Caenorhabditis elegans: one gene and its partners. The protein of the gene in region 1 interacts with the protein of each later gene in a pairwise test. Each region holds a gene or a part of one and is shown in the gene's direction. Other genes may lie near its edges.

What was found.
Region 2: the proteins of chc-1 (region 1) and rme-4 interact in a two-hybrid assay, tested with the Caenorhabditis elegans proteins (one study listed by BioGRID).
Region 3: the proteins of chc-1 (region 1) and ajm-1 interact in a two-hybrid assay, tested with the Caenorhabditis elegans proteins (one study listed by BioGRID).

What each region holds. Positions count from the first base shown.
Region 1 is NC_003281.10:10,197,565-10,209,915, forward strand, and holds chc-1 (putative clathrin heavy chain 1), read left to right. Parts: upstream 1-6,256; 5' UTR 6,257-6,307; coding exon 6,308-6,430; intron 6,431-6,477; coding exon 6,478-6,598; intron 6,599-6,649; coding exon 6,650-7,014; intron 7,015-7,060; coding exon 7,061-7,240; intron 7,241-7,348; coding exon 7,349-8,209; intron 8,210-8,253; coding exon 8,254-8,556; intron 8,557-8,603; coding exon 8,604-9,758; intron 9,759-9,804; coding exon 9,805-11,026; intron 11,027-11,078; coding exon 11,079-11,657; intron 11,658-11,705; coding exon 11,706-11,842; 3' UTR 11,843-12,140; downstream 12,141-12,351. Other genes in the region: dod-6 (ShKT domain-containing protein), read left to right, coding at 192-282, 339-430; T20G5.8 (ShKT domain-containing protein), read left to right, coding at 1,795-1,885, 1,934-2,025; dbd-11 (DB domain-containing protein), read right to left, coding at 2,330-2,644, 3,193-3,495, 3,667-3,762; dbd-12 (DB domain-containing protein), read left to right, coding at 4,059-4,298, 4,387-4,482, 4,539-4,631, 4,678-4,796, 4,862-4,964; T20G5.9 (Partner of Y14 and mago), read left to right, coding at 12,284-12,351. UniProt on the Caenorhabditis elegans protein: Clathrin is the major protein of the polyhedral coat of coated pits and vesicles. May play a role in yolk protein clatherin-mediated endocytosis by oocytes during oogenesis.
Region 2 is NC_003284.9:10,370,974-10,382,389, reverse strand, and holds rme-4 (UDENN domain-containing protein), read left to right. Parts: upstream 1-4,620; 5' UTR 4,621-4,779; coding exon 4,780-4,799; intron 4,800-4,847; coding exon 4,848-5,006; intron 5,007-5,069; coding exon 5,070-5,186; intron 5,187-5,626; coding exon 5,627-5,795; intron 5,796-5,838; coding exon 5,839-6,068; intron 6,069-6,489; coding exon 6,490-6,592; intron 6,593-6,637; coding exon 6,638-6,973; intron 6,974-7,024; coding exon 7,025-7,120; intron 7,121-7,374; coding exon 7,375-7,428; intron 7,429-7,475; coding exon 7,476-7,604; intron 7,605-7,646; coding exon 7,647-7,819; intron 7,820-8,382; coding exon 8,383-8,788; 3' UTR 8,789-9,158; downstream 9,159-11,416. Other genes in the region: dyf-6 (Intraflagellar transport protein 46 homolog), read left to right, coding at 874-963, 1,009-1,146, 1,627-1,781, 1,837-2,028, 2,078-2,194, 2,241-2,456; Y49A10A.2 (uncharacterized protein), read left to right, coding at 10,038-10,184, 10,233-10,334, 10,383-10,694, 10,980-11,093, 11,143-11,166.
Region 3 is NC_003284.9:9,078,561-9,087,645, forward strand, and holds the start of ajm-1 (Apical junction molecule ajm-1), read left to right. Parts: upstream 1-4,422; coding exon 4,423-4,524; intron 4,525-5,342; coding exon 5,343-5,501; intron 5,502-6,708; exon of another isoform or gene 6,709-6,911; intron 6,912-7,127; exon of another isoform or gene 7,128-7,269; intron 7,270-7,472; exon of another isoform or gene 7,473-7,663; intron 7,664-7,725; exon of another isoform or gene 7,726-7,873; intron 7,874-9,018; coding exon 9,019-9,085.

The sequences.
Region 1 (12,351 bases):
TTGTGTAACGATATGAGCTTTTCATACAAAGAGGCACAGGGCTTCTGTGCACACATAAAGGACTCATTGTGTAATAACAACAGGTGAACAAATTCTAATGAGAGGGCGTATTCACTTGCATGCAATTGAGTATAAAAGTAAAGAGCAAAGGCTGATACTTCACATTCGTCCTCGAATTCACCTCAATCATCATGTTCTCCCTCAAGACCGTCGCCCTCTACTTCCTCGTCATCATGTCTGTCTTCGTCGTTTACACTTCCGCTGCTTGCGCTGATGCTGAAGGTAAGAATTGATTAAATTGTGATCTGGGAAACTCTAAAATAACTGTAAAACTTCAGATGGTCACTGTGCCGTCTTCGCCGAGCTCTGCGACAACGCCGACTTCGCCGCCTACACCTCCAAGTGCCCAAAGACTTGCGGAAAGTGCTAAACGTCTTCTCCACTCTTCTCTAAAAACCTTCATATCTTCCATTACTAATAGGTAGCTCCCAAATCCGGTTGTAGCACCTGTTTTAATTCTCCAATTTCCCATTGAAACATTCCATGTATTGTACTAGTCACACAGTCACTTCGCTATTTCTCTCCCACATCTTTCAAATGCTGATTTTCATTGTAGACTGGTCATTTATAATGTTAATCATTTAAGCATTTGATTGTTCTCACCTCCACCATCTTCCATCACCAACCTAATATTCATGTTGTCATCGTCGTCAACCATTTCTTCATCATCGTTTGTGTGTTTGTCTTGTTTTGAGTTTGTCAAAGAAATATATATTAACCGACAAAAAATTCGTTCCGCTCTTTTCCGAAAGGGATTTCAGAACAAACCTGATAGTTTTGAGAACGGCTAAACAGTGGTATTAGTGAGAATTTAGAAAGGAAAAAGCCAGATTGGGCATCAATCATACGACTTTTAATGGGACTACAATTGTTTCAGCCCCGTAAACCTCCATCACGTCCAATCAATAATGACATGAATCCTTGATTATTTAACAAACTGTACGAAAGTATGAAATCTTAAAAAAAAAATGTACAGATAAGCTTGAAAAAATTTGAGTGCTTTGCTTTCGTACTGAGGGTGACAATTTTTACCTTTTTCATTTAACCCGAATTTTAATATTAACAGCAGAGCGAAATTTTAGGCCTTAAAATTTTTCGTGATGAATGACATAATTTCGGTCTCTTTCAGTATGCTGGTGAACATCAGGAAAATGTGTGTAGAAGGTAGAGGCTTCTGGTTTAAGAAACTAAGAAACTGCAATTCATAATTCTGTTGAATCTGGTCTTCTCTCTAGGTTCAGCTTTCAAAAAACAATAGCGTTCGATTCAAACAGGTTGTAGAAATTAGGAATTATTTTGTGCTGGTTCTTTTTAGAAATAATGGAAACGGGCAAACCTTTTTGGCGGTAATTTTTAGTTGGAAAAGCCGAAACCTGAAGAATTAGAGACATTATCCAGTAATTCGCGTGATTTTAAAATTGAAAATTCACAGTTTTGCATTTTTGAACAAGTTGAAATTTCACATACTGTTTTTGAGGAACGTTTTTAATTTATAATATGCAAGATATCCTAATTTAATTAAACAAATCACGATGTGTCATTAAAAATCACAAAACAGATGTATCAACGATCAGCATCTACCTCATTTGTAAAAAAAGGAAATCGGTGGCACCTGTTTGACTCGTTACAGGTGAGCAAATAGTTAGGAATTAGCTAATAGGCGTATCTTTTCTCAAAAATTTGTATAAAAGAGAGGGCTGTGGGGGTTTTAGATACTATCAAAAGTCAATCATCATGTTCTCTCTTAAGACCATCGCCATCTACTTCCTCGTCATTTTGTCTGTTTTTGTTGTTCATACTTCAGCTACATGTGCTGATGATGAAGGTTAGTTACGAGCATTATTTACTTCTTCTGAAGCCTTTGTATTTTCAGATGGTCACTGCGCCGTCTTCGCTGAACTTTGCGACAATGCTGACTTCGCCGACTACACATCCAAATGTGCCAAGACATGCGGAAAGTGCTAAAGCCTAATCGAAACTGCTCTCCTTTTGTAATTATTGGTAGCTCCCTTTGACGGTTGAAGCACCATTCTTTTCCCCACTTCTCGTTTTTAGTCACCGTCATTCTGCTAGTTTAATTTAACTTTCAAGAAATTAATTCTTCATTTAGGACTGGTCATCCTAAATTTGAATTTTTATAGTTTCTGAAAGCTACTTCTCATTTTCATTGTCGTCGTCATCTTTATCTGTGTGTCTGTCTTGTCGCCTCAATTTGTCAAATAACAATTTCATCTCAAATTGTTTTATTTACTTTGGAAAGCCTAAAAAATCAATGCAGAGAAAGAGCATAATCAAATTTATCAGAACCTGGGAATTTCTTCTGTGCTCGTCGTTTTATTTCAGAGTAGAAACACTGTTTCATTCCCTCAAATACTTCATAGCAAGGCAGATATGATGCATCAATTGGGGTGAATCGATTCGGTCGTTGATCACAGAATGAAAGACATTTTCTTCCGGCTACAGTAGTTGTGATTCCAGATGTCTCACAGCATTCTCGATGATCGAGTCCTTGCGCAGCACAATAATGTATTTCGTTGATGGCTTCGATGGGGCATTTGTGAACTTTATTGAACATTGCCTCTATCTAGAAAAGCAATTGATTGAAATCAGGGAAAAAGGTACGTGTTTAGTATACCTGGCTCAAAAATATTCACCATTTTGAAACTTTTACTTGAACCTTTTTAGTCTTAAAAAAATAAATAAAAAATCAAAAGCCTAAAAATGCAAAACATTCAAAATTTCGATTAAAATATCATTTTTAAAAGAAATGAATGGATAGCATATTGGAAAATATTTTTGGGTCAGGTATGCTTAATACAAAATTTCCAAAAAAAATGATTGAGAGCTGTTTATTTGTAAATCTATAATATAAAAGTTCCACAGAAAACAGCCGTGTGCGGCATATTTCAAAATTTGCCGAGCTCGGCAAATTCGGCAAATCCACTTTTTGAAAATTGCCGAGTTCGGCAAACGGCAAATTTGGCAAATTTACCGCACACCTCTTACAGAAACTCCAATTTTTAGATAGCAAATTGTATACTTGATATTATTTCATGCGGTGAAACCTTTTAGACTATTAACAAAATTCCAGAATACTGTAACTTCCCGATAAACTTAAATTGTTTGACCTACCGTTGTGAATGTATAAGTATTAAAATGACACAGCTGCAGACAGGAATCTGGAAGACCTCGAGCTTCACAGCACGATCGGAAAATAAAATTGGGATTTGTTAATCTGTCAACACTTAAATGTTGGGATGTCTTCTCCGGTCGTAACGCGACACTTGCTTCTGCCAACTCAGCCTGTTCATGTGTCTCATCGTTTACCAAGACTCCGTCAATTCGTTTAGTTAGTGAGCCAAACGCTTTTCTTCGAGCACAACCGTATTGTCCGCAGGCATATCCTTGTTGGCATTGATTTCCTCCACAAGATACCTGTGGAAAATTAGAGTCAGAAAATGAATTCGAATGAATTTTTTAACAGTCACAAATGCTTTGATAGTCAAATCACTTCGATAGCAGTGACAAATTTTCTTTCTACAAATGACTTATGAAAGTTATACGGGCATTAAAATTCAATTTCAAGTTAACTATGTTTTTACTTACCGGTGGAGGAGTCCGCCGTTTACAGCAACCACCTGATTGACTGCAACAATGCATTAGACCTATGCAAAACGATAAAATAAGGAGTAGAAGCTGCATGGTAGAGCTATCAAAAATTAGCAAAACTTCTTCAGAACTTGGGTTTTTATATCAATTATTAAGTTGACGCAACTGGTATTTTGAGTACCTATACCTAGCCGCAATTACATATTGTTAATTGGTAGTCACTCAAGAGAACTCAAGAGGATTTGAGAATATTCGAGAGGTAACTGGAATAAGTGGTCATCTACTTGGGCTTTGGCTAATTATAATTATAGTCAAGTGTAATTATCAATGAATATAAAATCTGAGAGTTTCAAGTAACATTTCCATAGTTTCATATCTCCTCTACCATCATGATCCGAATCTTCTTTGTTCTTCTCGCTACTCTCCTCATTCTCACCGATGCATGTGGATCTAGTGGTGCATGTGGTTGCTGTGGTTGCCGAGCAAAAGCAAAGGCGAGAGCTGCAAAACGAGTTAGTGGAGATTTGGTTCAAGAGTTTGATGGAAAGGATGATGGAAATATTTTTGGACTCAAAGTCTGGAATGATACGAAAACTCCAATCACTGAAAAGAGCATTCAGTTGTTGACAGTAAGTTTGTTTCTGTACATTTGGTAGATCATGGGGATTTTACTGTAAAAAAGTCAAACTTTTAAATATATTTCATATCAATTTTCAGAATCCTAACCACTTGTTCCATGTATGCTGTGAGGAACGACAGTTGCCTCCCGCATGTGTTCAGAAATGCCATTTTAATGTTTATAACAAAGGAGTGGTAGGTTTAAATAGGTCAAGTTTATATTGTGAAATTGAATTTCAAAAATTGTATAGCTGGAATCAATGTTCTTTGGTTCAAGTGAATGCCCGATTGAATTCCTGCCAGAAATGCAATTTTGTGCGGCTCAAGGAAAAGATCATAGCCAGGTAAAAGGTCGTTGAAATCTGCTCAATAACTTCTTACTAGTTTCAGTGTTGCTCACAAAGTCAGGTGGATGCAACGACGGCTGGAAGTAAATGTCTAACCTTCTGCGATCAAACACCCGATCTCTACACTCCAATTGATTACAGCTATGCGCCTTGCCTAGACAGGTTTCCATATCTTTTTATCTTCCAATTCTCGAGGCAAAAGTCATGTTGAATTAAATTGGTTGCAGGTTCGAGGACATGAAACGATGCTTCTATGATAATGTGAAGTCGGATGCAATCACACATTTCGAGGCGAAAAAGAGTTTGCAGGATAAGAGTACATCTTATTAATTGTTTTTGATTTTATATTTACTTAACTTGAGATTTCGAAATAAAATGTGCGATTTCGCAATACCCATCACGACATACTTTGTATTTCATTTTCCATTAAAGCGGAACTATTACACATTTGCGAATTTCTGTGGCAATTGCATAAAAAAACCGGTACCGGGTCTCGACACGAAAGATTCTCTTAAATGCAAAAAGTGTGATCTTCGGTCCGTGGAGTACTGTAACTTCCAGCAGGGCTAATACAAGAGAATTTGAACAGAAAACAATACATAACATTTTTATTCAAAAATGCCAAAAAATTATAATACAATTCAATTTTGAAAACAGTTTTTCGTTGTATTTTGGACCAAAAAAATCGGTTTTTTTTTGCGCAACGTTGTTGGATTCTCAACGTGTTTTATCTCAGTTTTTCCTTGAATTTCGGTAAAACAGAACAAAAAATGAAATGTTCAAAAAAAGTGTTCCAAACTACAGTACTCCTTAAAGGCGCGCACACTTTTAAATCAAAGAAAATTGGTCGTGTCGAGACCCCGTACTGTATTTTTTGTGTAAAACTCGAAAAATTTCCGTGTATGAGTGATCTACTGATTGAAATTGAGAAAACAAAGTTTATCCGCAGATCAAATTTGTTTTTTTTTTCTTTTCAATATTTCACGGCAATCATTTCTTAATCCAAACACGTAATTCACTGTCGTAATTGCTGATGACTCATTCATTTCATACGAACGCTTTTCTTTTGTCAATCCTTCGGCCGTACAAACATAAATTTTTCCTTGTGAAATTAAAAACTCCGCCCAAAGCGAAGAAAATTCCCAGAAGAAATTCGGCGGAAAAGCGCGCTCTACCGAGAAGCGGGGCGCGTCGCGTCGCGTGCCCTGTGATGACAGGGCGACTTGTTCAAGCTTGGCAAACAGGAATCATTTCTCTCGATCAACTGGCTTCTGCATGTTTGACAAAGCTCTCTCTTGATAAGACATTTCCGTTCAATTGTTTTATTTTTACGTTTTCCCTCTTTTTAGGTGCGCTATGAGTCCTCAAAAATTTTTCTTTACTCAGCAAAGAGTTCTAACTTTTGGAATTACAATTTTTCCTTCATTTCAAATCATTCACAGTAATAACAGCGGCCAAAGCTAGCTTTAAAGCTGTATATTTTTCCATTTATTCCTTCAATCTACCGATATTCACTTCTATTTCCCGGAAATGTCTCACTTTTGTGATAAATTTTACGTGACTCATCTTTTTATTTTTATCGTGTTCTCTTTTCTTTTTTTTTCAAACATCTCCATTTGCAGGTATATAATTTATTGTAAGAAGTTTTTCCATTCTACACACAGTTTTCAAAGATGGCGCTCCCAATCAAATTTCACGAGCACCTGCAGCTTCCGAATGCTGGAATTCGGGTGCCCAACATTACATTCTCCAATGTCACAATGGAATCTGATAAGAACATTGTTGTTCGTGAGATGGTAGGTCAAATAATCGCAATTAACTGTTCTAAACGGATAATTTCCAGATTGGTGATCAACAACAGGTTGTGATTATTGATTTGGCCGACACAGCGAATCCAACTCGTCGTCCAATTTCTGCTGACTCAGTAATCATGCACCCAACTGCCAAAATTCTTGCTTTGAAATGTTAGTTTTCAGTACCATTTGACTCTGAAGCTTATTTATACCTTTTTTCAGCTGGCAAGACACTTCAAATTTTCAATATTGAGTTGAAAGCAAAAGTGAAAGCTCATCAGAATGTAGAAGATGTAGTTTATTGGAAGTGGATCAGTGAGAAAACGATTGCACTCGTTTCCGACACAGCCGTCTATCATTGGTCGATCGAGGGTGATGCAGCTCCAGTCAAGATGTTCGATAGACATCAGTCGTTGGCCGGAACTCAAATCATAAATTATCGCGCTGATGCCGAAAACAAGTGGCTCGTTCTTATTGGAATTTCCGCAAAAGACTCCCGTGTCGTTGGAAGTATGCAATTGTACAGTACCGAGAGAAAAGTATCGCAGCCAATCGAAGGCCATGCCGCTTGCTTCGTTCGATTCAAGGTAGGACTAATTCGATGATGGATTTGTCATATTAATAATGTTTTAGGTCGATGGAAACCAAAACCCATCTAACTTATTCTGTTTTTCCGTCAAAACCGATAATGGAGGAAAATTGCACGTTATTGAAGTAGGAACCCCAGCTGCTGGAAACACTCCTTTCCAAAAGAAGAATGTTGATGTTCCATATACCGCTGACACAGCTGGCGATTTTCCAGTGTCTATGCAGGTATGTTGCTTATAGTCGTATAAACAAAATTTGATATCTTTCTGATTGATTGTTTATAATTTCAAAAGCTGAATGGTGTTGTTTATAAAATAAATTGTTGGTTTTCAGGTATCTGCGAAGCAAGGAATTATTTACCTGGTAACAAAGCAAGGATATGTTCATCTTTATGATGTCGAGTCTGGAACACGGATTTATTCGAATCGAATTTCGACTGATACCGTATTTGTGACCTGTGAATACACAGCTACAGGAGGAATAATGGGAATTAACAGAAAGGGACAAGTTCTTTCCGTCTCTATCGATGAAGCTAACTTGGTTCCGTTCGTTACGAACCAGCTGCAAAATCCAGATTTGGCTTTGAAGTTGGCCGTGCGTTGTGATCTGCCTGGAGCTGAAGAGTTGTTCGTTCGCAAATTCAACTTGTTGTTCAGCAACGGACAGTTTGGAGAATCAGCCAAGGTTGCTGCATCGGCTCCACAAGGAATTTTGAGAACACCAGCCACCATTCAAAAGTTCCAGCAGTGCCCGTCTACTGGTCCAGGACCATCTCCACTTCTTCAATATTTCGGAATTCTTCTCGATCAAGGAAAGTTGAATAAATACGAAACACTCGAGCTGTGTCGTCCGGTCTTGGCACAAGGAAGAAAGGAGTTGATAACGAAGTGGCTCAATGATCAGAAGTTGGAGTGTTGTGAAGAATTGGGAGATCTCATTAAGCCGCACGATGTGAATACTGCTCTTTCAGTCTATTTGCGTGGAAATGTCCCGCACAAGGTTGTTCAATCTTTTGCTGAAACTGGACAATTCGACAAGATCGTAATGTATGCCAAGCGTGTCGGATTCCAACCAGACTATTTGTTCCAACTTCGTCAAATTCTCCGTAATTCGAATCCTGATCATGGAGCAAAATTCGCTCAACTTCTTGTCTCTGAGAGCGAAAACGGAGAACCACTTGCTGATCTTTCACAGGTAACGAATGAGAATAAGGATTTGGCTAATTTAAACCTTTTCAGATCATTGACTGTTTCATGGAGGTTCAAGCTGTTCAACCATGCACTTCATTCCTTCTCGAAGTTTTGAAGGGTGATAAGCCGGAGGAAGGACATCTGCAAACGAGACTTCTTGAAATGAATCTGCTCGCTGCCCCAGCTGTTGCCGATGCTATTCTAGCCAACAAGATGTTCTCTCACTACGATCGTGCCGCTATCGGACAACTCTGCGAAAAGGCTGGACTTCTTCAAAGAGCTCTCGAACACTTCACTGACCTCTACGACATTAAGCGAACTGTTGTTCACACCCATCTTCTCAAGCCTGATGTGAGTTTCTAATTAGATTTCTAAAATAAATGCTAATTTATTTTCAGTGGCTCGTTGGATATTTCGGAAGCCTTTCTGTTGAAGATTCGGTCGAATGCTTGAAAGCCATGCTCACTCAGAATATCCGACAGAACCTCCAAGTCGTTGTGCAGATTGCATCCAAGTATCATGAACAGCTCGGAGCTGACAAGCTGATTGAGATGTTCGAAAATCACAAGTCATACGAAGGTCTTTTCTACTTCCTTGGTTCGATTGTCAACTTCAGCCAGGACCCAGAAGTTCACTTCAAGTACATTCAAGCTGCCACGCGCACAGGGCAAATTAAAGAGGTTGAGCGTATCTGTAGAGAGTCGCAATGTTATGATGCCGAACGTGTCAAGAATTTCCTTAAGGAAGCCAAGCTCAACGATCAACTTCCTTTGATCATTGTCTGCGATCGTCATAACATGGTTCATGATCTTGTTCTTTACCTGTACAGAAACCAGCTCCAGAAGTACATTGAAGTCTTTGTTCAAAAGGTTAATGCCGCCCGTCTTCCGATCGTTGTTGGTGCTCTTCTAGATGTTGATTGTAGTGAAGATGCTATCAAACAATTGATCATTAACACTCGTGGAAAGTTTGACATTGATGAGCTTGTCGAGGAAGTTGAGAAACGCAATCGTTTGAAGCTTTTGAATCACTGGCTTGAATCGAAAATCCAGGAGGGAGCGACTGATGCTGCTACCCACAATGCGATGGCCAAGATTTACATAGATTCTAACAACAATCCCGAACGATTCTTGAAGGAAAATCCCTACTACGATAGCAAAGTTGTTGGAAAGTACTGCGAAAAGCGTGATCCTCACTACGCCTTCTTGTCATACGAACGCGGACAGTGCGACGCTGAATTGATCAACGTGTGCAACGAGAATTCACTATTCAAGAATCTTGCAAGATATTTGGTGAAGAGAAGAGACTTCACTCTGTGGGAGCAAGTTCTCAACGAAGAGAATGTTCATCGTAGACAGCTGATAGATCAAGTGGTTCAAACTGCTCTTTCCGAAACTCAAGATCCCGAAGACATCTCTGTGACTGTTAAGGCATTCATGGCTGCCGATTTGCCGAACGAACTTATTGAACTTTTGGAAAAGATTGTTCTCGATAACTCTGCATTCTCGGAGCACCGTAATCTTCAAAATCTGCTCATTTTGACTGCAATGAGAGTAAGTTAATTATTTTAGAAAACATATTCGATCAATCCACTTTCAGGCCGATAGAACTCGTGTGATGGAGTACATTCAAAAGCTTGACAACTATGATGCTCCAGATATTGCTAACATTGCTATAACTTCTGAACTCTACGAAGAAGCGTTTGCCATTTTCAAGAAATTCGATGTGAACTCAAGTGCCATCAATGTTCTTATCGAGAACGTGAACAATTTGGATCGTGCTTACGAATTTGCTGAAAAGTGCAACCAGTCAGATGTCTGGGCATCTTTAGCCAAGGCACAGCTCCAACAAAATTTGGTGAAGGAGGCTGTCGATTCGTTTATCAAGGCCGATGATCCAGGAGCGTACATGGAGGTTGTGAACAAATGTTCTCAAACGGAGCACTGGGAAGATCTTGTTCGTTACCTTCAAATGGCTCGCAAGAAGAGTCGTGAGTCATACATCGAAACGGAACTCGTTTTTGCTCTGGCCAAGACTGGTCGTCTCACTGAACTTGAAGAGTTTATCGCTGGACCAAATCACGCTCAAATCGGACAAATTGGAGATCGTTGCTTTGACAATGGAATGTTCGATTCCGCTAAGATCCTTTTCAACAATGTTTCCAACTTCGCCAAACTTTCCGTTACTCTTGTTCGTCTTGGAGAATATCAAGGAGCTGTCGATGCTGCACGCAAAGCCAACAGCACGAAGACATGGAAACAAGTGTGCTTCTCTTGTGTCGAGAATGGAGAGTTCCGGCTTGCCCAGATGTGTGGACTTCACATCGTTGTCCACGCTGATGAGCTTGAGGAATTGATCAACTTCTACCAAGATCGTGGACATTTCGAAGAGCTCATTGCTCTTCTCGAAGCTGCATTGGGTCTTGAACGGGCTCACATGGGAATGTTCACCGAACTCGCGATTTTGTACTCGAAGTATAAGCCAGAGAAGATGCGTGAGCATTTGGAATTGTTCTGGAGCCGTGTTAATATTCCAAAAGTTCTTCGTGCTGCCGAGCAGGCTCATCTTTGGTCCGAGTTGGTGTTCTTGTACGATAAATACGAAGAATATGATAACGCCGCACTGACAATGATGCAGCATCCAACTGAATCTTGGAGAGAGCAACATTTCAAGGAAGTCATCGCTAAAGTCGCTAATGTTGAGCTATACTACAAAGCAATGCAGTTCTACCTGGATTATAAGCCACTTCTCCTGAATGACCTTCTTACTGTGCTATCGCCTCGGTTGGATCATTCGCGCACAGTTTTGTTCTTCAATAAGCGTAAGTTTAAATTTCGTTTAGTTTTTAAACTTTTAATAACAATAATTTTCAGTGAAGCAAATCCCACTGGTCAAGCCTTACTTGAGACAAGTTCAAAACTTGAACAACAAGGCTATCAACGAGGCTTTGAATCAGTTGCTCATTGATGAGGAGGATCACGCCGGGCTTCGTTCTTCTATTGAGGCTCAAGACAACTTTGACAATATCACTTTGGCCCAACAACTTGAGAAGCACCCACTTGTGGAATTCAGAAGAATTTCCGCATACTTGTTCAAGGGAAACAACAGATGGAAGCAATCGATCGAGCTTTGCAAAAAAGACAAGCTGTACAAGGATGCCATGGAATACGCTGCAGAATCGAGAAACGGAGAACTCGCCGAAGAGCTCTTGTCATTCTTCCTGGATGAGAAACTTTATGATTGTTTTGCCGCCTCCCTTTACCATTGTTATGATCTCCTTCACCCCGATGTCATCATGGAGCTCGCTTGGAAGCATAAGATTATGGATTACGCCATGCCTTACATGATCCAAGTTATGAGAGATTATCAGACGAGACTTGAGAAGTTGGAGCGTTCTGAGCATGAGAGGAAAGAGGAGAAGGCTGAGCAGCAACAAAACAATGGAATGACCAGTGAGTTTTAACAAATATTTAGAATTTAAATTTATTTGATATTTTCAGTGGAACCACAACTTATGCTTACCTATGGTGCCCCTGCCCCACAAATGACTTATCCAGGAACAACTGGTGGCTATGGCGGACAGCCTGCTTACGGTCAACCTGGACAACCAGGATATAATGCCCCTGGATTTATGTAATTCGATAGTTTTATCCCCATTTTCTTACCCCCACCCCCTCACTTTCTCCCCGCATCAATAATTATATTGTAATTTATTGCTTGATGTCTATACACTTTTTTTGTTTAAATTATGATATTCTATTTCTATTTATTCCGTCCCCTATGAAATTGTGATGGTTGTATTCTAATCCGTGAACTTATCCTTAAGGTTGTTGGTCCGATGTGTCGTCTCTCTCAGTTCTGCCCGTTTTCAAAAAAAAGTTGATCACAACTCTTTTAAACCACCAGAACCATCATGAATAAATTAATTCGTTGTTACCAATCGCGTTCGAGTTTCGGATGAAATACTGGTTCAGTCCATCATCATAACATTTTAGTTTTACGATTTTAACTTTTTGTATTATTCACTAGCTGAATTTTTTAAATTGAGATCTAGAATAAGCCATTTTCAGGCCGTATAATGTCTACTAAGCCCGCCGCCGCGAAGACGAAGCCATCGTGTAGTGAAGGTGGTGATCTACGTGTTGA
Region 2 (11,416 bases), on another chromosome or scaffold:
TTTTTTTTCAATCCTGTACATTGAATGCAGTCCAACGTTACAAAAATGTGATCCTTTTTTGTTTTTGTCTGTTAACATTTTGACAACAAAGAGCGTGAAACAAATGATAATCACTTATGCTTATGAGATACTCATGCGTATAGAGTGCCTCCATTGTTTCTTTTGCTGATTAAATTATCAGTTCGATCAATGAGCTTTGAATTGATTAGGCTTTTTTAAAGTTTTTCTATAATCTTAAATTTATAACCTAAAAGGTTATGAGTCTCAGACATTTTATTTATATGTTTCCTAGCCAAGTCTAAACATGTAGCAACTTTGCAAAAAATGTTTTCTCAATTTTTAGATGTTGTTTTTGGATATTAAATTCGGAACCAACAAAATTTTGTTTCAAGATAAAAAGAAAACGAATCACATCCTAATGTGAATCTTGGATTAAGTAATAATAACTGTTTTTGAATTTCATAGGCCTCCAATGTTTTTCTTAATCATTTTTTTGTAAACGAATCAACAAAAGTTAAGATTCTGCGCATGTTTCTTTAATATTCAAATATTCTAATTGCTGGTTTTTTCCTAAAACTAAACTTGTATGTAATTCATTTGAAAAATCATACAGGCATTGGAATTGAATAGTAACAAAAATTGGAAAACGACTGTGAATATATTAGAAAATTGTTAAATTAGTGTTTTTGAAAAAACTTTCGGCGGGTTTAAAGTATCACATAATTGCATTATAAATTCTTACAAAATCGCGTATCTTTATAACATACTCAATGACCTAATATGCTCTATGAAAACCTGAATTTAAAAAAAGCTATAAAAAGAAAGTTCATTGTATTTTACTTATAATCAATTTTTCACTGTTTATGCTTTTAGTGCAGCCACCACCAATGGGATCTCCACCCGCCTACACTAGCGCCGATGAAGGTCCCAAGACGCCGCCACCTAGGGCTTCAGCTGGATCGAGTCAGTCTCGTGCAACACTTCTTGACATTCAAAATAAAATTGCAGATATGAGGCAAGAATCTATGAACGAATTGATAATGAGAAAAATATCTGACCCCCTTCAAAATTTGATTCGCAGAGCAAGCCGCCTGGAGGACGACAGCAGCAACGACGATGATGATGATGACGACGATGAGGATGACGGTAAGGCTACACACGGAAAACATTCCACAACATATATATTTCGCATAAAGTCTACAGAGACCTCTGATAATTAATTAATATCCACAAAAACATAGACATAGGTCATACTCTGGAACAAATTATTTTCATTTTACTTGTTTTTCAAGAAATTTATCCGAAAAATAACTTTTTTTATCGTATTCTTTAGTTTAAACTAACATACATTTTATTTTCTGATAGTGAGTAGTTTTCAAAACATTTCAAGAAGATACTTTTGAGTGTACACGACTTTCTCAATTTAACAAGTGAAGCATAATAAGATAACATTTAAAAAAGAACATATTTTGTATATATTTCGCGACGCATTGTATCATGTTTGTGGAAACTTTTTAATCTCAAAAAAAGCAATCAAACAACATTTGAATCCGTTTCTTCGGGAAAATACTTATAGATTTATCATTTTTGACCAATAATTGTATTCTATCTGAAGTCTGCTTTCAGACTACACCGAAGACGAAATTGCGATTCTGACTTATATCGACGCGTATAAAACACAAGAAGTAGAGTTGCGCCCGCAATTACGCCCATTCACTATCGAATACATCCCAGCAATGGGCGATGTCGACCTATTCATCAAAGTGCCAAGGCCAGACGAGGTATGTCCGGAATTCATAGCTCACGCAAACATGTTTATATAACCAAGAATTTTAGATTGACGATAATGTGGGGCTCACGCAGATTGACGAGCCACCCAGCAACCAGAGCGACGCCACAATTGTCGATATGCAGATTCGAAATGCTACTAAAGATGCGGCAATTCTCGATGACGATGTTCCAGTGAAGCTTTTAGAAAGAGCTGATGAGAATCCAGATGAAATAAAGAAATGGATTTCTGATATTAAAGTTTGTTTTAAAAGTGTCAAGACATCTTTTAAAAAATGTTAATTTCTAGGAATTTCATAAAAGCAAGCCTGCCCAAACAGTTCACTACAGAACTCAACTGCCAGATGTAGAAACATTGATGCAAGAATGGCCACAAAAACTTGAAGAAGTTTTGAAAACGACAAAGGTTTGTCTCAATGCTTTGTTGTAACGTAAAACGTTGAATCCGACAGATACCATCGGCCGAACTGGATGTTTCATTGGAAAAGTATGTGGAAATTTGTCTTAATATCGTCGACATTCCTGTGGGGAAAAGTCGCATTGAAGCTCTCCATTTGATGTTTTCGCTGCTCAATGAATTTAATAACTCACAGCATTTTCGCAATCTCGCACAAAACAACAATCTCGGAGGAGAAACCGGAGAAACAATGGACAGATTGGAACTTTAACATCAAAATTTATTGACATTTCCATAACTTTTTGATAAGCAGACGTTTCTGACATTCTCTTAATCACACATTTTATAACTTTTCCCTCTGCAGACACACTTTCTGAACAACCTATTTGTGTCATATAAATAATTTCTTAAATTATTGGCAAAATGCTTTCTCCTTTTGAACTTCATTAATTGATTCACCTTCTATTTTACTTTAATTTATTTGACCGAATAAACATTTTTATTTCTTTTTTAACAATCAAAAAGTTTTATTTTTCATTGCACATTAATTGGAGAGAATTATCCTTGGTGAGTTTTTACTGTTATCTTTACACCAATTTTTGTCTTACTCATATGAAGAAACATTTTCAAATTAATTTTGTTTTTAACAAGGAAATATCACCACAATTTTTGTGTTTATTCATTGCACGAAAATCTAATTATTCGGTTTGTAGTGAAATTGTAGTTTGGGACTTATACATTTTAACCAGTATTCTCTTATTTTTGAATTTTTGGAAACTTGAAATTGTATTTTGTATTTCGTACCCCACACTAAAAAAAACTATTCAACTTTCCACTACTACTCCTGAATTTCTGGTTTCCAGGGACAGCTCTCACGGTCCCATTTCCAAGACAAAGCATCATGTTGCTTAGCAATTGTGAGTAACAAACAGAACGTGGAACACAAGCCGGTGGTAAGTCTTCTCAGCAGGTACTATAGATGTCATTTGAAGAAGGAAAGGGTGAGCAAGGCGTTCTATTGTCGTAACAAGACCATTCAGACTCTCGTAGCATTTATCGATTCGTCACTGTGTTTATTCATTTCGTCTATCTTTCCTCCTCTTTTCATTGCACAGTGTCCCCACCTGACGGCGGGAAATACGCACTACATAAACTCGTCCCGATTTGAAGTGAACTTTTTTAATTCGCATTTTTGTAGTTTTCTAGGTTATTTTTCTTTTAATTTGAAAAGTAAATTTTACAATAAATTTGACTTGATAAGTCGTTTTTTGCATAGACATTCAAAATCATATGTCCATGTTTCTTAAACTTCTTCACTTTTTTCTCGTACAAATCGCTTAGATGGGCTATTTCTCTCTTATTATATGAGCACAACGTTCTCTCGCTTGCAATGTCAGAAATAGATTGCAGTCTTATCCCTCTACAAACTGTGCATGCACATTCTCTGCGTCTTTTCATTCCTATCAGTGACTAGACTCTTTTTCTTCCAGAAAAAAAACATTAGATGACAACAAACTGTTCAGTTTTTGCAGATAGAGTTCGGCTTTTGGAAGTTAAGTTTTCTGGCATTTATGAAAAAAAGATTGCTCATTAGGACCGTCAAATTTATGTAACGTTAACATAGAAAATATCAACAATGAGAAAAGCAAGCAAAACATGTTTGAAAGCCTTATTGTTTTAAAATAGATAGGTAGCGGAATTTATTTAAGAAAATACTTTTATTGAGTCAAAAGTATTTGTTTCTTTAACCAATAAATTTTATGTTCCCATTTTTTTTGAACTTCAATGTTTCCAAGTTTAGCAGTTTGATATAATATTCAAAACTAACGAAAATTTGATCAAAAATTTGAACAAAACGAACAAAAAAACAAAAAAACAAAAATCTACAAATCCGCTTTTTAACTTGAAACCCCTAAAAATATGTAATTTAAAATACACAAAGTAGCCTACAGTTAAACTCTGTATGTTATCAAATTCTGAAAAACACAACGAAATTCAGTATTCTGTTTTCTCCTTTTCAACAGCCCATTTCTCATTCCATTTGACAGCTCTATTTTCCTCATCCGTCACAGGACTGCGCGATACTAAAAAAAAAGACACATGTTTCTTTTTTTCTTGGTATTGTTACCCAGTAGTCTGAATAGTAACATTTCTTGATTCTTATGTGATGCTTTTGGTGGCAGCACCCATTTTTCTTCTTTACTCCATCCTCTATTTCTAAATTTATGTCACTAATTTTATCCCATTCATTCTCACGCCTTGTTCGCTCTTCATTTTTTCCATGTTTCTTTTCCTTCTCTTCTATTGCTGTAGTCTCTCCTCGCCCTCCTCTTTTTGTCGTTCAGTCGCGTGTCAGCTGAATTCACAAAGAGAAACGCGCCAGCAGTCTTCTTTTAACGCAGTTTTCGTTTTCCGTTCTTTTTATTGTAATATTGCAAGTGTTTCCTGCTGTCGCCGCCCAGCAGTTTTCAGTCCGTTTGTTCCCAGTTGGGTGGCTGAAGCTAACCTTCAATTCAATTTAACAATTGTCTTCGATCTCTAGATCTCTTCTCTGCCGTTGGTTCCATCTCCCAATTGGCTTTAATTTTTCACATATGACCTATGGAAGATACAGGTGAGATTGTTGTGAAATGTTCAATCCATTTTTAGAATATATTTTCAGAGCTGACGTGGCCACCCTGTACGACGTCTTCTGCGAACTTGATGCCCCGAAACCTGGCGAAAAGCTTGCTATTTTAAGACTCCAGTATCCCGACGATTTCCACGATCCAGCTATTGTGAAAAGTGTTCAACAGTTTGCATTTCCATGTCAACTACGAGAGTACGTAATTGTTAAAAAAAAACTAAATTGGTATGGAATTAAAATGTTTTTATAATATTTCAGAGTAGAAGTCGACGCAGTGCAATTATTCAGTTTTGTTCTAACCGATTCGAACTCCAAATTCTCGTTTGGATTTTGCCGTTATACACCAAGAACCGACACGTGCATCTGCTTCTTGAGGTGAGAGTGATTTTCCATCATTACTTTTGACAAATAGCCGTCGTTTGGTTTTGTCATGGGAAAATGAGTCCTGAAGAGCAGAGGAGAAGTATCATATTTCGTTTTCTTTTCTATTCCTTTTAAATAAACTCTTGCAAAAACGTTAACGAAAAAAAGAACAAAACAGAGTTCGTTTTTTCTTGTGACTTTTAACTGTTGTTGTTGTTGTGTGATGCGAAAAAATGAAAAGAATGTTAAACGCGTAGGATAGGATGACGAATATGATTGCAATATTTTAAAAAAGAAAACGATTTGTGATGGTGAACATTATTATCACAAGAACTTAAAAAAAAATACAAAACCGTTTGCTTGGAACTAAAATATGCTTTAAAAAAAGGCGGTAGAAAAGAGTAGAGAAGTAGTCAGAAAAATGTCTCTTTAAAAATATGAATATTTTACAGTGGATTCTTCTGGCCAAATGTCTTCTTCAAAGCTCTTAACGATATTTCTTTGGTGATAGGTTCAGCGCAAAGGGAAGATGTTGAATCAGTGCTCACCAAATTCTATCACACAGATATTCCAAATATTGACGAATATTTACGATTTGCTGATAGTAATCAAACAGATGGAGTAAGAACCTTAGTTTATATCTAAATGTGCAATATTTTCTCAGCACAACTATCGAGTAGTGTTTGCTGAAAAAATTCCCGATCACACGCGATTACCAACTCTTGGCTCGGATAAGTTTTTCCTCGAGTTCTACAACGCCATCGACCCTCGGCAGATGTTAGCAATCTTTGCAAGTCTACTGAAAGAACGTCGTATTCTGTTTACTGGGCGGAAAGTTGGATCGTTGAGTTCATGTCTCCATGCGGTCTCGATGCTTCTCTACCCAATGTGTTGGTGAGTAATATAAAATTTCTAACAAAAATGTTTACATAAATATTGGTAGCAAGAGGCATTGCAATCGCAGTTCTGTGATAGCAGTTCTGAGATAACTAAGAAACTAAAACAAAGTACGTAATACCACGTAATAAGAAATCGTGGTTAAGAAATAAAAATCAAAAGCAATGTAAAAGGGTATACAGTATAAGATAACTTGTTATATTATTTAGTGATGCATATACATAGAATTCAAGTTTCTCTTAAACAATCTTGAAAGTACTTGGTGAAAAATTTGAATTCAACATTAACATCACGAAACATTTGGTCTTGCGACTGTATTTAATCATAGTTTTAGGAACAAAAATTCTGAACTCAATGATGAGGACGCTTATTGAAAAGCTATTAAATTTTCTAAAATGTACTTCAATGTATATTTCAGGCAATCAGTTTTTATCACAATTCTTCCCGAGTCTCTCGTCGACATGGTAATGGCACCAATGCCATACTTGATAGGCGTTCCAAAAACTGTTTTGGAAAATGCGGTTTGTGAATTCGAATAGATGTCCCAATATTGTATTTTATTTAAGAGGCTGAATATAAGAGACATCGGCGAAGTGGTGATTGTTGATATTGACGAGAAGACGTTAACAAGCCCATTCGATGATGTAGCAGCAATGCCTCAAGAAGTTGTAAACTTTTTGAAAGCACAACTTCGGTCGCAGTCAGCAATGGATGACACTTTTGCAAAGCACTTCTTACGAGCTATGGTTATGCTGTTTGGTGACTACACAAGTGGATTTACTGGTGATACGCCTGAAACTCTGGTTTTTTCCAAAGAGCGGTTTGTGGTGCAACAAAAACCATCCTACCAAGCATACGTATCATCACTATTAGGTGCGGATGGTGTGCAGTACCTAGAAAGAGTGAGTTTCCGCACAAGCATATTGATAAGTCGCAATAATTAAATATTTTAGTTCATCCACGACCGATTAGAATTGTACAAAGACGGACACGTGCCAGGAGACCAGTTCGAAATTGAAATCGAACAGATGGATCTGAAAAACCGGCCGGTAAGTGATGAAGCAAATGTTATCATAGCTTGTATAACGCAATGACGTTAACTCGTCGAGTGTGCGGACATATTCCAACATTCAGCTAAATCATCATGAGCCAATGGTGCATACTACGGTGCAATCAGTAAGATTCGTGTTGTCAAACAGTATCTCAGCAACTTGATTTTCAGTTTAACCAAGTGCATGACTTTTGAAAAATTTTCTAACTTGTTCGGCATCTAATTTTTAATGCAATTGAAAAGATTTTCCAGGTCAAGGAGAATGCCAATGACGTCATCGGAGCATTGAAAACTTCTGGAATACAAGTATTTTTCAACCCATTTTAAGTTATTTGAAACATTCAAATTTCTAGATTGCAAATCGTCTCCAGAAACTAACGCCTCGGGAAATACGAAAAGCAGCGGCAAGAAAAAAAGCACACAATCAAAATGGATTTGAGCAGTCGCCAATGTCTTTTGATAACCTACAATGGGATGCAACGGTTTGTTAGAAAATAACAGAATGTATTAATATTTTTGAATAGTTCCAGAAAAGTGACGAAAACGAGGGCTTCCCGGTGGAAACAAGGATGGACAATGTTCCAGTAGCCAACCTCATTGATTTGGATGAACCTTCTACAAGTTCTGCGTCTGGGCTTACATCAGTGGATGAACAGTACTTTCTTCGTCCCTCCGAACTTGCAACTAACAACCGCAAGTGAGTATTTGATCAAATAATCAACCCAGAAAAAGTATAACGCTGTGGCTCTTTGTAGAACTTTTTCGCTCTATTTTTCTGGCAACCAACAATTATCTGTTCGTTGTGCGCCTGCCTGAGTTTAATCCACTTTTAATCTATAAGCTTCTGGCTGTTTCTGTCTAGGTAGAAGTATTTTGGAAACGCTCGGAAATCTCATAATTGCTTATATGTAGAATAAAAAGTAATGTCGCCTTATAAACAAAAATCATACTTTGTTCAAATATAACGAGGATCAAAAAAATTGCAGTGTGTCCAATGAGAAGTCTAATGCATTTGATAACTTCTGATGATTTGGTTTTCTAACACCGTTTCAAAAATAGTTTCATAACTAAAAAGAATTAAAAAAAATTTCATTTCAAGCTGGTGCTTGAAATGCTGGTGCTTGTACATGCTGGTACATTTTGTATAGTAATCTTGATCAAGATATAAAACATGTATGTATTGCCAAAACCTGGTAATTTGAAAACCAAATCTGTTACTATGTTATTCGCAAATCAGTTAATTATTTTACAAATGTTCAGGTCGCCATCTGGAGCAATAGGAAACGTATTTGCCGACCCATTTGCGACGTCACCAGAAGGCTCGGCGCCTCCATTGCCCTCTCGACCCCCACCACCTCTACATCCTCGCATGATTCCTGGCTCATCGGTCCAGTCAATCTCTCCAAGTGGATCATCAGCACCTCACCTACTCCATTTTCAACAAAGCCATCAGTGGGCACAAGTCAGCCAAGTAGGAAGCGTACCATCAGCGATGAACCCATCTGCACCCGATTGGTATGCTCCTCCGCCGCTACCTCCCCGACGACCTGCATCAGTTGGCCCATCGAGCACATCGTCAGGGCAACCAGCAACTGCTTTTGCCACTAGTTCAGCAATACGAGTCCCCCCTCCTCCGGTTCGGAGCAAATGGGAAACTTTCGAGTAGAATACAATCATGTGATAACAAAATGAAAAACAAATTATTTATGTGTATGAAATTTGAGTTTCTATGGCTAGAGTCGTATGGTTACTTTCATAAATTTAACCCATTTCTTTCCCCCTTCCCACTAGTCAAATTATTTTGTTTTTCCATATTCTCATATTTTTTAATCGTTTGTTCCTTGTACTCCTGCGAGACTGAAGTCACAACGATAATTCAGTCATTTTATTCATTTTGTTTAAGTATATATTTTTCAAAAATCCAAAGGAACTTGTCAAATCAAATTGTCATCGAATGCCGGCATTCTAACTTTTTCTTGTCAAAAGTATATATTTATTTATTTTTCTGGTTTGGAATAAACAATAATGTTGGGTGACTTTTCATTCAGTTTATGTTATTATTTCAATTTATTTCAATTTACTCACTTATTTTAGCATCTATCGAAAGTACTTAAAAACTACAATATACTGGACAGCTTCCATTTAATTTTTTTTGTTTTAATTTTTGAATGGAGTAGCGTCAATACGGTAAATATTTGAAATAGATCTTTTGTGACAAAAATAATTCAGTTGAAAGGATAAAATCGTTTTTTTTAGATTTCAAAAAAGTTATCCCAACTGGCGCTATAAAACTTTTGAGACTTTGGAAAATATCCCATAATTTTAAATGGAAAAAATATTATGCTTTGACAATTTTCACAGTATTTACAATATATTGGAAAAGTGAACCAAACGTATCTACGACTACCCTGCATCATAACACTATTTCTCCTGCATATTAACAGATGGCCGTCCTCGTCTCCTCCGCTCTTCCCCTTCCTGGGGCCCCTGCCGTCTGCTGCCTTTTGCGACCGTCTAGCTTCTCTCACTCAATGATTTCTATATTATTTCTCTTTTTCCTACGATCTCTAAATCTCTTTTTCTAATCTCACCGCACGCACAAGCAGAAACGGACCGAACATGCCGTCCGCACAGGCACTTGCCAACGTGAAAGAACACGGCTGAGAAGGTGCGGTTTTTTCCATTGAATATTCAATTTTTCCTGCTATTTGTCAAGACTTTTCTTGATACACAGCACCCAAATAGTTTAGAAATAGGAGTAGTTTGATTTTTTCTCTTAGTTTGACCATCAGAATGCATTTTCTTGTTTTTGGCTTTGGACAGTAGACAATATCAACTTGTTTCACTGCATTTTAATTGATATTTTATTATGGCCCAACATTTTTTTTAAAGATTGAAACATTAATCAATTTCAGATGAGTTTCCAACCTGGTGATATTGTGATCAAAGGTTCGTGGCCATGCAAGTTGGTGAATATGGAGAGAGGAAGGAATCCCGTCTCATGGAGAGTAGAATATTTTACCTGGAAAGCGAAAGGCCGAACGAGTATTGTTCCACAGGGTGTGAGTAATAAATCCAAATAATATCAAAGGTTCTAAACTTTATTTCAGGCGATTTTCGCTTTGCATCGAGACTATCGATTCAAAAAGTCTACGGAGCAACACACCAAAGCTATTAAAGAGGCTAAGGAAACATTAGGAGGCAAACTATGGGTTTGTGTGCATTCTAATAGAATTTAGAAAATGTTCATATGTTTCCAGGGATCTCAATGTGGCAGAGCACCATCGTACAAAAAGCTCGAGTTTAACGGAGTCGAAAACACCCCTGATCAAATACAAAAAATTGTCTCTCGCGACTTAAAATTGGAATTGGACGATAGTGAAGATATTCGAAAAAGTGGAACAAATGGAAATCATCACAGAGGTGAACCGAAAGAGGAACTAGAAAAGGAAGAGCAAGAAAAAGAAGAGAGAATGAAGGAAGATGAAGAAAAGAATGGAGATGGAGAATATGAAGATGACGAGGATCAAAAGATGGCTGATGAGAAGAACCGAAACTATAAGGCTCCCATGGTTAGTGTTTAGTTTAGTTTTATGTCTAATAAAATCATTGAAATTTGGAAACTTCGCCCTGGCTTCATGACTCAATTAGTCATTTTATTATATTTATCAGAACGGGTACTGTCCAACCAAATTTAATCGAAAATGTAAAATGCTTTCAAACGAAACATTTTATAAAAAGTACTATTCTTAAAGATATAATTTATTCACTTGATTATGAGTTTCAAGTTACAAGTTGCATCAATGTAAAATATTCGTTAGGACAATTTCTATCTCTGTTTCCATCTTTTTTTTCAGAATCGCAAAAGATTTCTCACCGAGGATAAAGACGACGCTCTGTTCAGCCCACCACCTCCTAAACAGAAGACTACGCCGAATTCCACAATCTGGGGCACATTTGTGACAAAAATTGTAAGTAATCGAATTTTTTAAAGTTTATCAAAAAAATTATCTATTTCAGAGTGGCTTTCTCGGCGGAAAATAAGCACCCTTTGTTTTTCATTTCGTTGCCCCTATCTAATTTAATGTATCAAACCTGAAAATGCCATTGAATCAATTCAACTATGTTTTCTATTTCTCCTTTTTTTAAATCATTTTTTTTAAAACTTCACAAATATATACATATATATATACTGTATTCATAATTTTTTTTCTCAAAAATTAAGTACTTCACCGGAGCAAGAAATTCAAAATTCTCTAAATGTTTCCCAACATCTGGGTATTTTCGATTTCGT
Region 3 (9,085 bases), on another chromosome or scaffold:
CTTGATGGAAACCATGGAAGCGAAACGATCAAAACAATTTTGAACATTTCAGCAAGCGGGAATTTTAGCAATTGATAATGTTATTGAACAGTGAAAATAATGTTCTATGCCTAATTCGTATTGTAACTAATCCCTATTAAAGAACGATACACTAAATTTAGAAGGTTCAATGAAGCACAAAAAGTCTCTTCGTTTTCTAATATTTACCAAGCGTTCAGCTTCTTTGCAACTGCTGCAGCTACTGCCTTCTTCCTCTTCTCAATCACCGTCGTCTCATCAATAGTATTTGTTTGTCTGCCAACCGTGGCCGGAAAGAGGTGTACGGACCGATTTATCTGCTCCTGCTGCTCTTACCTGCTCGACCCCCCGCACTCTCTTTTCATTCAGTCATTAAAAGAAAGAGGAGAGAAGTTGACCAATACAGTTTGCCTACCTTTTATCAACTGATAAGAAAGAATTGAATCAGTTTTATCGAACGGACAATGCACAAATTCTGAAACTCCAGTTTCAGGTAAGTATGTTTTCTTATTTTGAAAATACATAGAAATAGCTAGTTATTCAATAGACATAAAAATTCTTTGAGGTTTTTGCACTTCCAAGTGTAGGACCTCTTGACATAGTTTTAAAAAACTTTTTGTTAAAAAACTGGACAAACTTGACAATTTTGATAGTTGTTTATCCGTTTTATTTTTTTTTATTTCAAGGTTGAAAGCTTTACAAAAATTTGTTTAAAGTATGATATTGGCTTGATTGAGTTGTAAATAATCAAAAAATATTAAATAACATTATTAGAAAATTAACTTGTTGAACTCATGCTTTATTTGTAAAAACAAAAAATTTTCTGAAAGTTATAAATCCTAGATATGGGCGGAGGCAATTTTTTAACTCTTCTGTCGAAGTGTCACCTGTTTATGAGTTTCTAAAACGTTTTTAAAGTATACCGTATTTTCTCTATTAGTTTAGCAGCCTCTTCTTGCAGTTTCTAATAGTCTTGCACTCTTATGTTTGCTAGATCAACAATGTTTTGTGGAAACGTCGAAAAGTCCGTCTTTTTTTTTGGCTGAATTGAACGTAGAAGTGTTCAAGTAATTGATAAAATAATGAACAAGTATGTATTTTGTGTCATTTAATGTTTCAAGTCAAATTTTTGACAAGAAATTGTAAGCTTTACAAAGCTTTTGGATCTACGAAAATTAGTCTTGCAGCCTCTAATAGTATTGCAGTCTCTATTAGTCTTGCTCCCCTACGGGTCGTTTGAAAATTAGTCTTGCATGCAAGACTAATAGAGGGTATCTGAAAATATATTACTTGAGTCTAAAAACCATCGGTAATTTTCCGGAGATTTTGAAATCCTAGAATACGTCGACTGAAAAGTTTTAAATATCTCTTTGAAATCTATCCATGCATTTTGTTTGCTAACCGCCAAACCTTATCCCGATGTTTCTGGTTTGCACTAATTTCTATTCGACCCTCTCTCGTTTATCGTAAATCTCCGTCTTACGGGTCATATCTGCCTTCTTTATTTTCTTTCCAAAAGGGTTACTTTCTTGGAAAATGAGATGAAAATAGACCTCATTTCCATTTTCTACTAAACTTCTACAGTCCGTTCTGGCAATGGCCATTGTGACTATTCATCCAATTCGCGACTTTTCAAACTGTTATGAGTAGTAATCGGGCATTCCGCCATCGTTTTCACAACTGTTTTCCGATTTTCTTTTGTTGGACTTGAGAATTGGAATTCAATTCTTTCACACAAGACATTGTCACTTTTGCAACGTTCGGTTCCACTTTTTTATCATAATAACTATAATCAATCATAGTAAATGTTTGCAAGCTTCTGTTATTAGGATGGTTTTTTGTCGCAGATTTTTTTGCTTATTATAAAGGTACATATCACTAGCATTAATAATGAAAATTTTTTAACTTGATTTTGAGGTTGTTATGTTTTATTGTAAAATCAAAATATTTTTAACTAACTCATTTTAGCACTGCTGAATAATTAATAAGTACAACTATTTAACAGATTTTTTTTGAGTCACAATCCGGGATGGACGGCATTCTAAAATGTTGGGCATTTCGGATGTTTCGGCAGATGTTGAGTTTTAAAAATTGTGGCAATCGGTTTTTTCGGCAATTGCCGTCTACCCCTTATGAAAATATTTATTTCAAAATGTACCTGTTACAAAAATGCCACTTTCAAAAAAATTCTCTATTAAATTTTTTTTTCGATAAAAATTTACGAGGTTTGATGTAAATTATTATTAGTAGTAATAGATATCTTTTGGAAAATTTAATATGTAGTGCAATCATTCTCCAATCTCGGTAATATTGACTTATTTAATATTTTGCCTTAATTTAGCCACCAATATTAGACAATATTATTTCAAACGTCCTGAATGAAATCATCATTCGGAAGTGATCTAATCCATTTAACAAATAAATATTTATATCTAAAGCTTTTCGCCCGTCATCCTATCATCGCCTTTTTCGTCCTTTTCCCTATAATCAGACTATCGGTGAACGAGGAGAGAAATGTCAATAAACAAATTGATTAATCATCTTTGACAGGTGCCGGTGACCGGAAAATCCGTCATATCATAGTGTGAGGCAATCCGTTTTGAAAAAAATTCTATTGTGTTTGCAAAGTTAAACAGTTTTCAATATTCGTGTAATCTTAATTTTTTGTTTAGTGAGATTCATTTAAAAAAAGTAGTTCGAAATTTCAACGTTCCTCTAGATTCCTGACCACTTTCATTCTTAAACCGAATTATAACACATAACATCATGCACAAACATTATCATAATCTGTTGTATTTCCATCTTTATTTCTTATCACTTTTCGCATCTGTAGTTCGTTACAATTTTACGAGTTCTCGCTCATTCTCACTCCCGACTATCTTTCATTCCATTCCTCTCGATATTTATATTCATAATAAATAAATGCACTATAAATTTCTCCATCATCATTTTGCCTAGATTAATTCAACAATTGCATTTGGAGAGTAGCATATGTTTTCAGAATTTGTTCAAAATCACCTAGAATTCATCAATCAAGTCTGGAGTTTAAAAAAAAACCTAAGCTTTTATCCTCATCTTTTCACAAAACATCATCATTAACCGTTACTAAAGTATGCAACTATTAATCTGCTACTGCTTGTTGTTGTTTTGTATACATATCATGTTGTATTACATGTTGCTGGTCGACATCTCCTGTGAATTTAGTTTTACATTTTATTAGTTTTTTTGCACCTCTGAATACTATATTTTTATCATTAATAAAATAATATAATATCTAAATTCAAACAAATTCGAATTGTTTCTGTGCCAAAAACTATTCACGTTATGAATTGGTAACACTGAAAACTTCAGATGATGTTTTTAAAATATTTTTTTTTAAATATTTTTAAACTCAAAATTGGAACTATTTCAATTTCAGGGGTGCGCGACATTTGGTAATTTTGAAAACATTGGAAATAAAAATTACAGGAATTGCCGGATTTTGTTGGCAATCTTGTAACCTAACAAATTTAAGCTTGAAATGTCATGTGTATTTTAGTAGAGTTTTTTTGTCATCCGTTTGCTTGAGATAATTCAAAAATTTTAGAATTTGAGATACTTTTTTTTTCCAATTCCCGCGCACCTCTGTAGATCACAAAACTTGTTTTGTAATTAACTTTGTCATTTTATTAAAAGAATGTAACTTCTATATGAAGAGTATTTATTGTATTTAACAAAGAAATACGAATAATTTTGATTTTCTAACCAAGCCCAATGTTTTACTAGCTTGAAGTTTGATGTAACTCCATTATTGCACAGTAATCTGTGGTGTGAAACTGGCACGTATGTATGATTGAAATCACTAGAGAGATAAAAGAAGATAAAAGATTTTGCAAAAGTGGTTTAGTGCGGCACAAGCAATTGTTATGCGCTACCAACTTGTCTTCGTGTTCGCCAGAACTCACGAGCAAACACCACACTCTCTTCTCTTCTTGACAGTACAAAGAAATTGGCACATAATAGAAACCTGAGAGCTCTTTACTTCTTCCGTAGCACATCCTTCTTTTGTTTTTCGCTCATTTTCGTGTGTGTTATTCTCCCATCATCGTATTTTTTCACTACATATGCATAAAGTTGTTGATACATCATAGTCTGAATCATGGAACATCTCGTGGTCGCACATGTCTCCTTCTTCAAATTTTTTATTCAACAAAACAATGATTTCAAATTGTTGTATAAAAAACTAACCAAGCCTTTTTAAATTGCTAAGTTTCCGTTCAACAATTCATGTTCCTATTGAATCATTTTTTATTGTTGAAACCCATTATTCTACATTCAGCAATATGTAGGCAATTTGATTGAAATTCTATCCGCTTTTCCAAAAAGGAATGATGAAAATTTTAAAGGTTTTTTTTTCAGAATTGTATGGACATAGAAAATCTACAATCGTCAAACAACAGGTCACAGAAAAGTCGTCCTCCGGACGGCTTCAACGCCATCTTACAGACAGCATTTTCTGCTATTTTGGTGAGTATTTTTGCCATAATTTTAATACAAGTTAATACTAAATTAAAAATACTCCTATTAAATTTTTTAACTTAAAGGTAAAGTTAGGCCAAAACGAGATTTTCATTCGAGAAGAGATATTCATTCAGATTTCGCGCCTTTCTCGAAAATTGTCAAAATTCGTAAATATTGGATAATAATTAAAAAAATTTTTGAAGTTTCACGATGATTTTTTTTCAGTCCATCTTTATATTTATATCACATCCCTCTATATGATATTGAATCTGACATATGTTTTCTTTAAAATAAGCGTTCAGCCTGAGACCCTTCCCTCTCTCAATTATAATAAGAACAAAAGGGTATCAAAAATGCGGATCTTTTTCTTTAAATCGTGTCAAATTTCTCACAGTTTCCCGTGTTATTTCCAAGCATATTCTTCTTTTTACACCGGGCTTTCCGCTCTCAGAATTTATTAAATTCAAAATGTTTCGCGTATGGGTGGCAGCAAAAGCGTGCAATTGTGGATCTCGTACATTCGCTTGCAGACATGACCACCACACTTCCACTTTTTTCTAATAATCATTGCATTTCGGATACTAATTGCGTCTTGTGGTTGTCGGGTGGCCCTTCAACCGTCTCATTACATAAGGGCCTTCGTTCCGATAACTTTTTGCCCTTTTGGCGATCTGAAAACTGAGAGGAAAGAGGAAAACTAGTCCAGTAGATACACTATCCATTCATTAGAGAAAATTTGAATTCTTGACGCCTTCACCATTCCATTTCAATTCCCACACACCTTCTTACAACAATTCACCAATTAATTTGCTTTCTGAATTCAGGCGTTTGTCCTCTCTCTACGTATAATTGTGTTCGCCACGGCCCGGAAACGACTTACCACCACGGCGGCAAATCCGGATATTCAGGTTGAGGAGGCGTCGTCTTCCTCATCCGATACCAGCTCCGACACCGAAATTGTAGAAGAGGGTGTATTTATACAGGTGAGACCTTTTCTTGATTGTTTTTTCTTTTCACAAGACATTATCAATTTTTTATACTTTTGCCGTATAGGTTAAAAACTGAGTTTTAACATTTAACGTCTTGAAAGCGGAATTTTGTTTTCATTCACATATGAATAATTGTCAAACACGATTAAATATCGTAATTACACACATTTTAAGTTTTCATGTTCTTCGGAAGAATTATTTTCGGGAGAATAAGAATTATTTTTGAAAAAATGTCTTGCTTTCAAATAATTTCTCAATTATTTTGGGCATTACTGGAGATTTGAACACAACAATGTATATATAAAAATAATATGAATCTCCTTAATGTGTAAAACTGACAGGACATGTATTTTTTGGTTGACTTCCAAATGATTTATTGAAACTAAGTAAATGTTACTTTGTTTTGATTTTGTGTGTGATTTAAAAATTATATACATTTTTGATATGTTTGTTGGCTATTTTCGGATAGTGTAAATGTCTTGATCATATTAATATGCTAGGGATACCCCACATTCGAACAGTTCCAGATGATATTGAATGAAGATAATTTTAATAATAGTGGTAACGGAATAGAATGTATACATTGTAAAATTATACAACTTTTGAGCAAAAATTCACAATTAATTTACTCACAACACATGTGTTATTCAAAATTGTACGTGAAGCAATAAATCAAAAATTTAATTATAAAAGTGTCAAAATTATTATTTCTTTCCTGAAATTTATCTAATAACCATGTCTTGATTATGAGTCACTGACTAGAAATTTGCTTATTTTTAGTTTAATTTACGTTACCTACCTTAGTATTCAGTTCTTAATTCGCATCTTTTCCCAATTCCACTTGGCCAATTTTCTTCAAATTACCAATTCTGAACCATCTAACTCAACTCATCAAATCTCGACTCATTCATTCCACCAGACTCTAGCAACCTTATTAAAACTGTTCAATTGTTCCGTTGGAGATGTCAAGAGGGGCAGAAAACAGAGAGGGTCACAGACGTTTGCCCTTCCTCCAAATCGTCTTGGCCACTAACCTCTGTCGTGTTTTTTAATGTGCTACTACCTGGCTTCTTATGTGGTATTTGTGGTGTATATGTTGAATTTGTGTTATACTTTTACTTTTCTATATTCACGAGTTTTATACAGTTTAGAATTTATTTGTTCAACTAAAAATCTGCAAATGTCTCGATTGTAATTACTTAGTATACTTAGTAGGTTTAACGAACTTGAACTTTTTAATTTTTACTTATATTTGTAGTGAATTGATTATTGTAGGGATTATTCGTGTTTTAAATTTGAAAAAAAAAACACTTGTACCCTCTTGCTCCACCTTGGCAGTACTTGGGTAATTTTTGTTTTTATCAAAAAAAAATAAAATAGTCAAAATAGTCAACTAAGAAATATTAAATTCAACATAATTTTTTTCTTTGATAAACCCAAGGAGAACCGAAGTGTAAGCCGACAACTCAATAGTGAAAGTGAATTTTACTTTTACATAATTTTCCTTAGTGAAACTAAGTTGCGGAAAATTTTCTCAAACGATGCCAACTGGGAAAAGTCGAGTAAAAAGATACTGCCGTGCACTGCACGGTATACAAAAAGGAGATGCACCAACCTCAGCCACCTTGTCAATACACACAAATATGCATATACGTACCAGCTAACGCATATAAAAAGCCCTGTTTATTCAGATGATTCACACAAAACAACCCCGCCAGCTCTTCTGCCTTTTTGCCCCTTTTTCTTTTTTCTCTGTACATCGTTGTGTTCATATAATACAATATGTTTGATTTTTTGACTTTTGCATCCATCTCTATTCCTCTTCAAGTCACCAATCTTTCGCACTTTTTGTTTTTTCTTTATGTCTCGGGATTTCTTCATTTTCTGGTCATTTGTCATCAAATCATTGTACCGTCACTACCAATTAGTCATCATATCCGTTCAGTGTACAACGTTCCGTTCACTCCGAAAAGGTAGATTAATCCAAACCGCCTGTCAATCAAATTGTAGAGCCTACAACTATGATCTTACGCAGATTTCATTTCGTTTGTGTTTCTCCTTATACAATTTTCAATGCCATCACCATCACACCTTCTGATTTATGAGGTTCTGTATAGAGCGAAAGAATTGAAGGTTAACACTTACTATTAGATAAAAAGTGGAATAAAAACCAAAATCAAAACCAATATCTAAGGTTGAAAAATAAATAAAAAATTGGATAGGTAGAGCGGTGAGCTCTTTTCCCCCGTTTGTGCAAATCTCGGTCTCGACATCTATTTGATTGTTTGCACAATGTTTTTTTTCCAGTATTATCTTCTCTTTCATTCCACTTCCCGCTTTTTAGATGATACTTTTGACCATTTCATGTAGCCGCTTTCTTTTTTGTCTATTTAAAAACAAAGTATTCTAGTTTTAGTTTTTAGTTCATGGTTTTATTTATATTAGGTGTTCCAAATTGAAGAAACTGTTTTATTGAGAATTGTTATAGTATGTTCCATTGTCAATCAAATGTTTTGGCATTTTGATTAGAATCAAAATTGTTTTTTTTTATTGAAACAATATTTTTAAAACTTTTTAATTTATTACGCTCTCTCGGAGATGTAAAAAATACACAATAAAAATAGGAAAATTTGAAAAAAAAAAAATTAAGACTCATAAACGTTGCAAATACTTTTCTCAAAACTTTATCAAACCGTATAAAAAAACTGTCACTGACAAAACCTGCATTATGTCGTTTATGCATCATAACTGTAGAATATCTTCTGATGTACTCGAAAAAAAATGAATAGTCAAATAAGAGTGGTTACTTTTGCGTCAATAAATCTACTGTAAGCAAAATTGACAGAAACAGTTTTTTAGTTCAAGAAATTGAGTAGAACAAATTTAAAATTACAGAATTCTAAGAAGATATATGACCTTTCAAAAAAATTTCGGTTTCAAATTAAATGTATCACAAAGTAGAAAATGCATTTGAGTTTGAATTAATTCAACTTTGAAAAAAAATTTCACAAGAAGTGTTGGAAAAAATATCTCTAAAGCTGTGTTTTCCTCTAGAATCCAATCTCTAGATCTTTTAAAATTAAGCTTTACTTTTCATATTCCAGTTGCTTCATTCAATTTACTACTTACACCGCTTTTTCCTAGATCTTATGGTTTCTCCGTTTTGTAACCGCAAAAAGTGATACCTGTTATGTTACGACGACCCAGATTGTATCGCTGAACGGTTATAAAACAATTGTCGGAACGAAAAGTTTTGTTGACATTGTTGGTATAACTTATTGAATTGACAAATTTATCCGCTTAACAAGAAGCAATTTTACGGTTTCTTGTACTACTGAATGCTTAGTACAATGAAAAAAAAGAATTATTGTTTCTTTTGAAACATTTCTTCTTTGAATATTTAGAACAAAAAAAATCACATCACATTGCTGTTCGTTTCCCAATCCTTTTGTCTCTATGCATAGCATTTTTGATTCTCAAACAATATAACCGAAAGTATTTTTCTTTTCAGAGACAAGGGGAACCAACCATGTCAGAGAAAAAACCGGCACAAGGAATGCCGTCCGTAATGTCGCTGC